3 linked regions of the Caenorhabditis elegans genome follow. The protein of the gene in region 2 purifies or fractionates together with the protein of the main gene of each other region. This does not show direct contact. Each region holds a gene or a part of one and is shown on either strand. Other genes may lie near its edges.

Region 1 (4,761 bases), on a different chromosome or scaffold from region 2:
AGCGACGCAAACACGTTTTTGACTGAAAATATTTTAAAAATGTGGAAAAAACAATTGGAAATGATTTTGTTCACATTTCTAAACCATTTATGTTTAAACACTGTGGGGGACTGTGCTTTTCTTTTTACAAAGGTTGGTACAAACTCATTCTTTGTCGTTTTTGTCTGTTAATATAAACATTTCAAAATGATTTGACCAGTTTTAGTACGATATTCGATACTTTCGGCTCTACAGGAGTAGTTTTAGCCAAAAATCCAATTTTTCAATCATTTGTTATGCTTGTTACGCTATTACCGTATTTCCTCTATTAGTCTTGCACCCCTATGTGACGATTGAAAATTATTTTCGCATGCAAGACTAATAGAGGAAATACGGTATGTTATTCAAGAGTTCAAAACTATTTTAATCGGAAGATTAGTTTAAAGAAACGAGCAACTGTATTCAGTACAGTTTAAGTGCAATCTTCAAAACAGTTCATTAACGTTCAGTTAAGTTAAGTTCATTGAGTTCCGGAACATAATCCTCGTTATCATAGTAAGATTTAAATTTTCTTTTACTCATCTCAATAGTTTCACAGACGACACTCACTTGACCTGATGAAATCACTATTACTGATTCAGAAATAATTGAAAAATTGCATTTGCAGATATTTAGTGCCAGCAGTAATGTAATCATTTTCGAACATGGGTGTGTTCATATGTAGTTGAAGGTACACAAATTATATCTTATAAACAAAGATATTTGATTCTTTCCATGGTGCGGTTGATGTTAGTCGGCCTGAGCGGAAAATATTTAGTTTTAGCCAAATAATTTTTAAATATTTTTAGACAATGTTTCTAATAAGCATTTTTTTACAAAATTGTTTCAAAACATTGCTACAAAATTTGACTTGAGTTCCATTTTGGGTGTGTACTCCTTACGTAAATTAATTTGTTGGCAATTTTAAATTGATAGGTCTGATAAGAAATTGAATCATATCAGGAAACTACATATTTCCAACGAGTCGGTATGCGATCAAAAGCGAACTATCATAATTGCACAAACATATCGAGGAACACTGTGATTATGCAAATTTTAGTATAAAACACAAAGAAATATAAAACAATCTTTTTCATAACATTCTTTCTCTGCCCTACACTATTTAATACTTTCTACAAAATTTTTGAAATTTATAAAAAAACAACTACAATCTGTTCAAAAGTCAATTAAAATGCTACGATCTCAAAAAATCATCTAAGTATGCACGAAGAGCGTTTAGAATTATTACAACCAAGTTTATATATTAACCGAATTAGTACAACATATTAACCACATAGCATTCGTTTTGATACATATCCATGACAAATCTGCATTTCAGGGTTTCCGAGATCGATCTGATTACTTGAAAACTGAACCGTTTTTAAAATCACAAGCAACAAGTAAACATTCCCAACAATGATAATAGTCTAATTCAAAGTAAAACGTAAAGCCAGTAGACCGAACTACACTGTTGTTATTTCCAAACAGACTTAATGTTTTAAGCCAAATATTTTCATTCATTTCATTGTTGTAAATGTTGCTTTGAGCAATAATATCTAAAGGTGAAGTAAATTCCCACGTTTACTTTTGCTCATAATCTTTATTCATTCGAATAATATTCAGAATTATCAAAAAACCATCGTTATACACGCCTGTCGTCGTGGTGCCATGTGCAATCACTTGATAACCATATTAGTTCTTGAAGGCAAAAATGTGGCAGTCGGCAAAACGTCGGGGCAAATAGCAAAATTGGCTTATCAAACAATAAAAAATTTTCACGGTCTTACATATGCGATAGGGCAAGACAAGCCCTTCCAGTTTCAGTCCGCTGCTGCTCGAGTCGCCACTGCACACGATGCGGCTCCTACTGGCTTTATTTTTATTAGTAACAGCAGTTGCAGCTGCTCCAAATCTTGGTAACTCAAACTAAATCTATTTTACAAAAACAACTTTTTTTTTCAGATTCCGTATTTCATCACCTACCAAATTATTATCCCGAACTAACAAATACTGATGCTTTCCATATTCGAGCAAAACGTGCGATTTTTGCCGTTCTTGGAATTGCCAACCAATGCGAAAATGGATGGACTGGTGATGGATGCAAAAACCCAATCTGTACTGATCCAAAACCTGCACCAACATCTGGACAGACTTCCAGTATTGAGATTATGTTTATCCAAGGAAGCTGTGGTGGACCGTAAGCATGAGTTTTAATTTAGTTGCTTCAAAACGATTTTCTTTTTTCAAGATTTTACATCCCTGTCGATTCAACAGGCAACAAGCCTACCCAAACCATTCAAATCCATGTTTCGGCTGCTGGAATTCCATATGTGAATATGACCGATGCAAAGGGAGTTGTATTTTCTCCATCTTACTCCGTAGCCGACGATAGCTATTCTCTGAATGTCTACGCCGATCTTCCATCTGGTGGATATACCTTGTCCATTGATAACCAGGGTGTTCCAACAAGCGAATGCATCATTGAAGTTAATGTAAGTGAGATTTTGTAGTCTGCCTTCTAGTTACATTTCGCACATTTTCATTCAAAATGTTCAACATTTGCCATCGTAACAAGATGAAAAACTGATAACCATGAGTTGCCTCCCTACATTTTTACGAGTTCGGCATATCAAAATGGGCGCGCTAAAAATGAATTAAAACGTGGAATTGGAAATAAAATGGCGCGTTATAAAAATACTGTATACCATGTCGTTATTAAAGATCAAATCAATGAATAATATAGTGAATTCATCAAAAGAACCTTACCTAAAGTTACATAATTTCTGAAATTCTTAAAACCTGGAATTGTCTACTAAAATTAAGAACAAATTATATTTAAAACAACGATGTTCCATACTGCCCAAATGAATTGTATATGTCATACATACTAACTTATATTTTGCTTCAAGTGCACCGGGAAGTTTTCAAAAGTTCAGACATTGATAAGGAATGTCATTATTCAGATTATTTTATGAAATGTAGTTTTCCTAGCAAAAAAAAACGTTTTTATAAAAATAAAATAAAACAAAGGTTTTTTATCTCTGATTAACCATCTTTGATTAACCAACAACCAATTTTTAATTTTGCAATTATAAATTTTGTGCCAGCAGCCATTTATTTATAAAAACTGCGAGAGTTCCAACATATAAAGCATTATATAAAGCATATTTAATTTATAGTTTTCAATTTTAAGTAATTTCCATATAAATTTCAATACAAAAGCACATGAAGTCAGTTTTAGGGTGACCCCAGCGGATTGAAAGCTGTGGATGGATTTGTGTATTCTCCACAGTCAGACGACCCTCCATATGGTGAATCTGCAATCAACGGTGTTCCGATGTATATGGCCGCTCACGTTGACAATTCACCAGCTCGTTAGTTTCGTTTTTTAAATATAAAACAAAATCTTTATATTGCAGAAGTTCAATCTATCACCATTCGCCAAGGCAATTCTTTGGCTCCAGTCTACAGAGCAGCTCTCACAAGAAGGTAGGGAACTGTATTTGTGGAAATAATTAGCATTTAGACTTGATTTATCTCCTGAAAACATTAACACCCCTATAAAAGCAAATCACTTTCCCCATTCATTTTTTCAGGTATCAGTGCGGGTATGAATACTATGCAGGACAGTGGCAATGTCAACTTGGAAATGCCTACTTCTATCATGTACTACGAAGTTCAAATTAAAATGTTTAATGTTTTCTTTCAGATTGATGGAGTTGACGCCAACGGATTTAACTTCAGAAGAACCGGAAGATTCTCATGCATGCGTAAGTCAACAACGCTTTTGTTATTTGAATGATTAGTTTTCTATAAGCTGAAAGTGTCATGAGTTTATTGAGCTCAGGCGTTCAAGAATTATTAGTTTCATAACTGTTAACTACAAATTGCAATCAGTCTTTTTTCAGAACTTCTCACATCACCAGCTCCTCCAACAACGACCCAAGCTCCGGTGACAACTTGTTTCAACAATGGAACACTCCTCAATGTTGCTAACCAAGGCCAAACATGCTTCTGCTCTGAGCTGTTTAATGGAAAACAATGTGAAAAAGTTAACTGTATGAACGCCGGATTCCCAGATCCAGACGGTAATCTATGCGAATGTGCTGCTGGATACCATGGAACAAACTGTCAAGATGGTATGTTAAGTTTCAGTTATATTTATATATTAAATATATCTTTCAAGTTACCTGTCCACTGAACTGGGAACAATATCTTACCAACTACAAGACATTGGTTGTTATCATTCGAAGCACCGTTTCGATGAATCAAAACCTAAATGCGATCTCCAGTGCTATCTACAAAGAACTAACAAGTAACGACGGCAACAACTACGAAGTATACAAAGGATTTGTCATTGTTAAATTTGCAAACGGTGCTTACACCAACACCTACTACCCAGCATTTGACCAAAATGCTTTCCTGGCTGCCATCAATCAAGCTTCAACTGCTGTTGGACAATGTTCGGATGCTACTTTTGATGCGATCGGCTCTATTTTTAACGAAGTCGCTCTCTATCAAAAATCTCCAGTCTATTTGTTCACTGACGCAACTGCTAGTGATGTCGAGAAATGGCAAACCGTCATTGAGCAAAACACTCGCATGAAGTTCCCGGTACTACATAACTGATGTTAACATAAGTAGAAGTTGCAATTTCAGATATACACTCACTACTTTGTTCAATCTAATTGTGCATTTGATGAAATGAGCCAAGGTTTCCAAGCCATCGAATACGCTTCTTAC
Region 2 (3,334 bases):
AGAATATTTTATATCTCCACTTAAATCGGTGACTTTCCTGTATATATGATGATTTATTTGACAAAAAATGTTATCTGAATATTCTCATCTGAAAAGAGAATCCACTTTTGATGTCAGTTATTTTATTTACGAACTACCTTTTGGTTTTATCCTATTTTGTTTTGAAATTTGATTTATGTGCATTCGTTAATAAAAATTAATATATGCCAAACACATGTGTATCATGAAAAAAAAGACCCCCTGACTGACTGCCTAATAGGCGGCCTTCATGCCTCCTGCCAAAATACACATAAATATTCTTCATAGATTTCCAGTTGAACTTCCAGAAAACTAATTCTACACTTTGCAAGCATCTGAATATAGTTATTCAATTCCCAAATTAATAAATTAAGTGGTAGGCGAGTAGGTATGAGGCAGGCACGCAGACATAAAAAAAATATAATATTGACTTACTGTTTTAAAATTCAGTTTTCTTTGCGAACGTTTGAAAGAAAATGGAGAGCAAAGGCTTCTGAGCATTAGCGATTTTTAAATTTAAACATTTTTTATCAACAAAAACTCATAAGACATGCAAAATTTATAAAACAACTTGACAATTAACGTCGAAAATTCCAAAAAATACATTAAAAAAATAAGATCCCCGATTTATCTGTATGGGTTGAAGTTTTGGACTGGTGGTGGTGGTGCTCCGTATGGCATAAAGTTTGGCTGAACAAACACTGGAGCAACATAGGTTTCAGTTCCATAGGCATTGTATCCAGAGTGTCCATGATCGACATGTCCGTCCCAACGACGTTGGAAGTGGAATCCTTCGAAGTGAACCTTGTCAACATGAACGTCTCCCTTCAATCCGATGGCTTGAACCGATTGGTATGGGTAACGATGTGGGTAGTCGGCGAGGTGATGACCGTTCACAGAGATCTGAAATTGAATACAGTTAACTATAAAATTAAATACGTTAAAACTTACATGGTAATATCCAGCGTGAACCTTGATGCTAAGGTGGAAGTGCTCCGAGTGGTGAAGTGGGTTTTTGTGACGGATTTCTGGTCCCCACATTCCACTGAACTGGGAGTTCATGACAACGACGTGTTCATGATGGAAACGGAAGTTGACATGAAGAACAACATTTGGTCCGCTCAAAAGCTCGACGGCAAAGTTCTTGTGATGTCCGTGACGAACATGTCCGTGAACAGAGATGGTGGATCCATCTTGAAGTGGCTCGAAGATCGAGAGAGCGGTTGGGACACCCTGAAATTTGGTTTATTGAAAACTTGAAGTTTCCAAACTGGAAAATTCTAGAAAATCAAAAACTCACGGGGTTGTGATAGGAGTGCATGTTAGTTGATAGTAAGACCGATTGAACCGATAGAGAAGTGAGGAAATGCCACGACTTTTATTCAAACTCTTATCGATATTTCTATGACATCAGGCGAGTTTTATTTGCTTAAAGACTAAGAATCAATGGGAGGTATCAGACACACTTCTACATTTGGGAAATCAATGGCAAATAAAGAACTGAATAAGACTAAAAGTTGGAATTCAATGAAAGAGGATGTAATTACTCAACTGATGGGGAAGAAAAATCAAATTCAATCGTTGCGTCTGATTAGGAATGAAATGTTTCTGTTAATAATTTGCAAGTAATCAGCTCGAAGCATAATTTTTTGTTGGTTTATTTTGTTTTTCAGCATGACGGAACATCATTTTGGAAATACAAAAAGTTTTAAATATCAAGTTTTGTCTAATAGAGGGTATAAAAATTGTATTTAGGTTACAGATCTAAATGATTTCTCACTATCATTACATCATTTTACAACATAATTCTACATACAAATGCCACGAATTTTAAAAAATTAGATGTTAAATAATGTTTTGAAAAGGTGTTCAGATTTCTGTAGTTATGAATATGAAAGGATTGTTGTCCTCGAAAATGTTTCGTTACGTTTGTTAATTTGGATTAGTTCATCTAGAAAAGGGTGCGAATTCAAGTCACATCAACAATTTGTCAGCTAAACAAATAGTCAAGTTTGCAAACTTTCCAGAACTGTTTCCATGATTTCAAAAACCTACCGAAAAGATTGGCAAAATTTCATATTTAATCTTAAGAGATTTAAGTTTCAATTTCATTCATTTTCAGATCTTTTTCCATCTTTTTTGGTGCACTATAAAAACCGTTTTTTGCAGTTTTTGTGCTAAAATCATCTTTCCATCGGCACACACAACGTGATGCTATCAAAAATGAAATTCTCGTACAATTGCCATTTTTGATCGGAAACTCTGTTTGACATTTCACCAGTTTTACATGAGTCATAGTCTGGTGTACACCAAGAATTGAGCATAGATCGTGAACTGGTCATGAGTCATTTCAGGTGATTTTTGAATGGGTCATACACGAGAGAATTTTTTATTTAATAAAAATTATTTTATTGACTGAGTGACAGTAATATATGAAACAGGTTAGAATGATAGTGCAGAATGAGTTCAAATTGGTACAAGTTATGGGTATAAAACCGTTTGTTACAAAATGGGATGGTTCAAACGAAAAGGTTTGAAAGTTCGTGGAACGATTCGGAGAGCAACTTTGCAAACTTTGTTGAATCAGTGTTGGCAGCGGAATGATAACTTGTGATGTTTGCAAAGATTCCGTGGTTTCCTCCAAAGCGATAGCAGATTCCGTAGCCATCAGCAGCGACTGCTCCGAAGCATGCTCCGAGCCAAGTGTTGTCTGAATCAGTGTCCTCGTCGCATTGATTAGTCACGTTTGGAACCTGGAATAGGATATGTTCAAATTGTAAAGTTAAAAAAAAAATAATTAGGAAAATCCAGAAAAAGCAATTGTTGAAAAATGTTTGAATTAAAATCCTTCAGCTCATTATTAGAAAGTTACGTGATACAACTGCCAAATACATAGCACTATGTCATCTTATTTTAATGATTACTCACATGTGAGGTAGATAGCTTCCACTTTTGATTAATATAATTGTCAAGGAAAGGACTCTGAATCCCCGTTCCTTGAGATAAAATATACAGAACAAAGAGATGACGATCGACTCCTTGCCCAACCATACACTTCTTGTTTCGAAGAACATGAGTTTCACAAGCTTTTTTCAAAAGAGCAATCTTGGCTTCTTTCTGAAATTTGAATTTTTCATCGTCTTAATAACTTCAAATTAACTTACCGTTTCATTTGCATTCAACATAGCTTCCACAAATTCACAAGAGTGATCGTTAACTGTTCTCAAAGTTTCGGTCCTCGAGTTTGCAAAGAATCGAGCTGATGCTGGTTCATATGTGAGCACAAATTTGCCTTGATCTCGATAGTTGGCAAGTT
Region 3 (5,000 bases), on a different chromosome or scaffold from region 2:
TTTGGCATTGATGATCTGGTGGCGGGGTAGGATGAACGGCAGCACAGAACATAGTTCCGGCACGTTGAAGAGCCATGTCATTATTATCACGAGCAAAGAAATTGAAGTAAAGAACTTCTTCTGGAACACGGCAAGTGAATGGTGGGAAGTAGAAGTTGAATTCACAGGCATCTCTGTACATTCCACTTGATCCGTAAACCTCGGTTTGAACTCCGTCACGAATAGCATAAATCTGAAGATTGGCATGCACACGGTCCATTGAGAGGAACTGAGGGTAGTTGGTAACATGGAAAACTGGAGATGAATCAAATCCAAGAACTGGCTGACGTAGAACTCCTGCTGCCGAAGTAAGAGTAGAAGCGAATGACCAGAAAATATCATAGTCGGGGCTGTATTGAGTTTGTCCGCCAAAGTTGAACTTCTTCTGATAAACCTTAAACGTGCAAGCTGCTTCTGGTTCAAGTGATCTGATAGAGAAGAACCATTGACCAGCAACTGGCGAGTTATACGTCCAAACATAGTTCACACCATCAGAAAAGGCGGTGTTGAAAGTTGGATACTGTCCTGTTGGGCTTGTCACAACTAGAGTCAAATTTGTTCCAGTGGCTACAATTGTAACGTAGTCAACGCTAAGATCAAAGGCAGCTGACTTGTACAGATTCTGGCTGGAGCAGTGTGAGTAATCTCCGGAAAGAACAAGTTGGGATCGGAACAAGGTGTTAAGCATGTGTCGGTAGAAGAACTATAAAAGTTAATTGATATGGGAGATATAAAGTGAAGTGACTTACGGTCGAAATAGTGCTTCTGTCGCTGAAATAGAAAGTGTTACCACTTGAACGAGCAGCCATGTCCACCATATCTCTATATGCAGAGTTATCTGGAGATGAGTTACATCCATCGGCTGGAGATGGTTGAACGTAAATGAAGTAGATCTGAAATTTAAATAGAGTCAACATTATTTGCTTTCATGTTATTTACCGGTGCTCTCCAATAAGATTCCAGATGGAACACAGTTTCCTTCTCAGCACTATCATTTGGAGTGGCGTCCGTAATCACATAGATCGGGGATTTGTTTGTTGGATAGAGAGAAAGTGCAGATCTGTAATGAATTAGCATTTTTAAACATTATTACATACCAGTGAACTTACGCAACAGCAGACATGACAACATCATCACATCCTCCTTCGCTTGGAGCGGAATGGATAGCTTTTGTAAGATCGACCATTGCAGCGTCCCATGAATCATATTGTCTGTTCACCAAGAGCTCTGAAATAATACACTTTCATGTCAAATATGTTTTAGATCAAAACTCACTTCCGTTATCAAAAAGAACAACAATGAACTTTGATAGATATCCAGGTTCACTAGCGAGAAGATCAACAATACTTTGAACAGACTCAGTTGCTTGTTCAATAACTGCAGAGAGCTGGCTTCTTGATCGGATGACAAGGGTGAGAGTTGGGTTTTCAGCGTTGAAGTCAAAGCCTGACATGTCGGTACACAAGACTGCAAAGTTATTATGTTTTAACAGATAATTTTTACTAGTGCATACTATTCTGGCAATGGAAGCCACTGAATCCTTCTGGGCATTGACAACGGTCACTGGTTGGAGTCGGCAAGAAACCTTAATAGTTATTATAAAAAATATATAATTTCAAGGATGAATTGTACCTCCGTTAGCACAGAGCATTTGCGAGCAAGTACTTCCAGAGTAAAGTCCAAAGCAATAACAATATGCAACTCCATTAGAGTCAGTAAGCAACTGCCCTCCGTTTTGACAAGAAGTTATCGGTGCTGCAGGTGTTGTCGGGACAGCGGGGGTAGTAGTTGTTACTGGTGGTACTGAAAAGGTACTTTTTCTTAAAAGTCTTATATAAACTTCTTATATACACTACAAAGAAACTCACAGACGCATTGGTAAGGAACAATACGACGGAACTTGTAGCCAGAGTTAGTCACACCCTCCACCTGAAAACAAAAATTTGAATGTTTAGCACCTTTGGTTCAATCGAACTTGAATGAGATTGTGTCCAGCATCGTTATTGCTGGTTTTTCTGCAAGTGTATCTCTCCAAGATGTATGGATAAGTACAGTTGAAACGGGTTGTCATTGGAATGTATCTTGAGATGTGGTTCTCGGCACCGGTAAATCCAATTGCTTGGATTTGACCAGGAAAGTCCAAACCTTGAGCATGAATTGCAACAACCGACTCAGTATCGAAATATGTAAACTTGAGATTTGGATAGTCACTACGCTCGGCTTGATCTCCTGAAGTGAATCCACCGGAAACATGAATGCTACTGCGGGATGACATCATCATTGTACAAAACTGCTCGCTGGTGTCGGCTCGTGGTCCAAGCATATATTGTCCGGGAGGCAGATGCAAATAATTTGCAGTGAACATTGTTGGAAGTTGAATGGATTCGTCTGGGAATATGAGATCTCCATTTTCAGCTTGAAGATAGAATGTTGGGTTCAATGCTGACGCCGTCTCGACTTCAATTTTGATATTCCGCATCGTCTCGTCAACGACGACGATGTATGATTCAGAGCAATTAGCCAGATTGTAAGCATCAATTGCAATGTCATCAAATCCGTCGTTGTTCGGAATGTACGGGTTGCGAGCAGAACAGAGGGCTGAAAAATTTCTGCGTCATGGAACATTTTAGAAATATAAATCTTAAAACTCACGATATTGGCAAGTTTCACCGGTGTACCCTGGCTTGTTGCATCCTCGAGTAGCCATTCCAGCCAAAACGTGTGGTTCAGCAATGGATCTTTTGGAAATATGATGGGTGTCCAACTGAAATTAAAAATTCGAATCGCACCTGTTTGCTAGACCTTACAAAAATAACCCTTTCTTCCATAGTCCTGTACTTTTGCTCTCTGACTGGCTCGAAAAACTGCTTCTGCGATGCCGGACTCCATGATCTCAAAACCGCGCGTATTCTGTCCTTGTGACTGAGCTCCTGCTCAGTCGCCAGGCAGATCACGGCCAGGGCCGCAATCAAAACCCAGTTCCTCATTTCTAAATAAAAAATATTAGTTTTTTTGGAAGCAAACTTGAAGGGGTATTATCAACAGCTTAAAATGAAAAAGAAGCACTGGAGTAATGCGACTAAAAGTACTATCAAGAAAACCTTATAGCAATCAAAGTCGTTAAATAAGAAAATGGGTTGGGCACGCTCGTAACATCGTGGCAACTTCTTATCTTTCAATGCTATGCATAAGGGCATAATAAAATTTTCCCCCGGGCTCTCCTGATTTTTCATGTTCTTGTTAACAATAAAACGCCTTACATTTTTATGAGTCAAAATTCAAAACATAAAATTTGCTCGGACAATAAAAGAACCTCGACATTTAGAATTCACAATCGAATTACCAGAGTTACCAAAAAACAAAAAGTCAATAGAATTGAAAATGATGATACATGAAATAAAGCATAGAAAAAATGGGAAATCTCAAACAGACATGGTTTTCATACGGGTAGGCACGGTTATGCTTGAAGATGGGAAAGAAGACAAAACAACCATGCTGGCAATTGTCAATGGCTAGAGATCCAACTTGCAGACCAGGCTTGGATGCCACCAGTCGCTATGATAAAAATAAAGTAATTTTGAAAAGGGAAACAGTTCAGATATTGTATATCAAAATGAGCTATTCTAGTTTAGTGGCGGATTCGTTTGATGAGCAAGTAAGCGTCTCTTGGGCTAATACGATAGTAGTCCTCGATAATTCCGTCATTGGTGAAGCCATGCTTCTCATAGAATTGCACCGCATTTTTGTTGTTGACCTGGAAAATTACTTTTTTTCAGATCCACTTTTTTCTGGATACCTGCACATGTAAGTACATGGTCTTAATTTCTTCCATCTTATTGCACAATTTTAATGCGTAGTCGATGAGAATTGTACCAATACCGATTCTGAAATAGCACATTTTATTACCTCGTAAAACGCCCTTGGTATAATAATTAACGCTATTAAAACCGTCATTTTCAGGTAGAACTGTACCAAAAAAACGTCATTGATAAGGTAAATTTGATCTGACTCAAAACTCACTGTCGGTAGGCGGCAAGGGTTCCAAGTGTCATGAGATACAACGACTTCTCGTCTGAAATATCGTCAATGCGACAGCACACGGCGCCCACGACGACATCGTTGTAGTAGGCAAGACGTCCAAGTTCTCCGCAATATCGAGCTTCCACATAGAACTTGTCGTTGTAGGCAATTGGGAAGACATCTTCATTGAGCTTTTTCAGTTGCTGAAATTATAGTAAATTGAAAAATCGAGTTTCGAGTTTTATGAAGTTCGTGTATTTTTTGTTGAGGTTTGAAAAACAAATAGGATTTCAGAAATCGCGTTTTACTGATGAAAATGGGAAGGCTAAATTAAATTTAAAAGGTGGAGGTTAAAATCATCTGTTTGGTTCAAGAGTGAGTGAAGACCTTCAGCAAACTTTGAGTGTGCTTCAGCAAACTTTGAGTTCAACTACTTGTCTGACATGCTCGGTAGGCTACAACGTATTTTAACAGCTCATTCTATGCCAATTTACACAATTTTCACAGGTACAGAATACAGGGCAATGTTGAAAGCTTCAAAAATGAACAGCAAAGTCGGCCTAGGTTTGCTTTTTTAGCCATTCACAGAATATATATAAATCGGAACAGAATTTTATTGAGTGGGCTCACATTCACTGCGTGCAAGAGTAATATTCAATTTTTTAAGACGCAAAAATTAAGGCTACATCATATTCACATTGATCGAGAAAATATGGGTTTCATTTAATATTATGAATTCTAGTTCGTTTCATAACATACATTTCCTTCAACAAATTAATAAATTCTCACCAAAATGTTGTGCGGCGTAATTTCTCCCAAATGAACTGTCCCATGACCGGCAATTGTTTTCAGTGCTTTTCCATTCACGTCAAATTTATTAATCAATGGCACCAGTTGATCAACTTGATCCTGCTTCTCTGGCTCAACTGAATCGGAAACTT

Evidence for each region. Proteins that work in one complex are often made in the same cells at the same time.
Region 1: the proteins of lec-10 (region 2) and hrg-11.3 purify together in Caenorhabditis elegans (affinity purification with mass spectrometry, with the first as the bait; one study listed by BioGRID). This does not show direct contact.
Region 3: the proteins of lec-10 (region 2) and irg-7 purify together in Caenorhabditis elegans (affinity purification with mass spectrometry, with the first as the bait; one study listed by BioGRID). This does not show direct contact.

What each region holds. Positions count from the first base shown.
Region 1 is NC_003284.9:11,496,962-11,501,722, reverse strand, and holds the start of hrg-11.3 (C-type LECtin), read left to right. Parts: upstream 1-1,723; 5' UTR 1,724-1,873; coding exon 1,874-1,934; intron 1,935-1,980; coding exon 1,981-2,215; intron 2,216-2,266; coding exon 2,267-2,510; intron 2,511-3,259; coding exon 3,260-3,392; intron 3,393-3,437; coding exon 3,438-3,507; intron 3,508-3,614; coding exon 3,615-3,684; intron 3,685-3,727; coding exon 3,728-3,788; intron 3,789-3,926; coding exon 3,927-4,157; intron 4,158-4,204; coding exon 4,205-4,632; intron 4,633-4,677; coding exon 4,678-4,761.
Region 2 is NC_003283.11:6,487,673-6,491,006, forward strand, and holds lec-10 (Galectin), read right to left. Parts: upstream 1,449-3,334; 5' UTR 1,340-1,448; coding exon 1,319-1,339; intron 1,252-1,318; coding exon 970-1,251; intron 922-969; coding exon 646-921; 3' UTR 531-645; downstream 1-530. Other genes in the region: cpt-6 (Choline/carnitine acyltransferase domain-containing protein), read right to left, coding at 2,538-2,771, 2,947-3,135, 3,183-3,334.
Region 3 is NC_003284.9:3,240,599-3,245,598, forward strand, and holds the start of irg-7 (Protein irg-7), read right to left. Parts: upstream 3,039-5,000; 5' UTR 3,027-3,038; coding exon 2,847-3,026; intron 2,804-2,846; coding exon 2,692-2,803; intron 2,638-2,691; coding exon 2,015-2,637; intron 1,969-2,014; coding exon 1,908-1,968; intron 1,843-1,907; coding exon 1,672-1,842; intron 1,625-1,671; coding exon 1,553-1,624; intron 1,507-1,552; coding exon 1,315-1,506; intron 1,267-1,314; coding exon 1,149-1,266; intron 1,100-1,148; coding exon 979-1,099; intron 933-978; coding exon 789-932; intron 743-788; coding exon 1-742. Other genes in the region: F40F4.7 (N-terminal methionine N(alpha)-acetyltransferase NatE), read right to left, coding at 3,668-3,793, 3,836-3,923, 4,060-4,262, 4,849-5,000.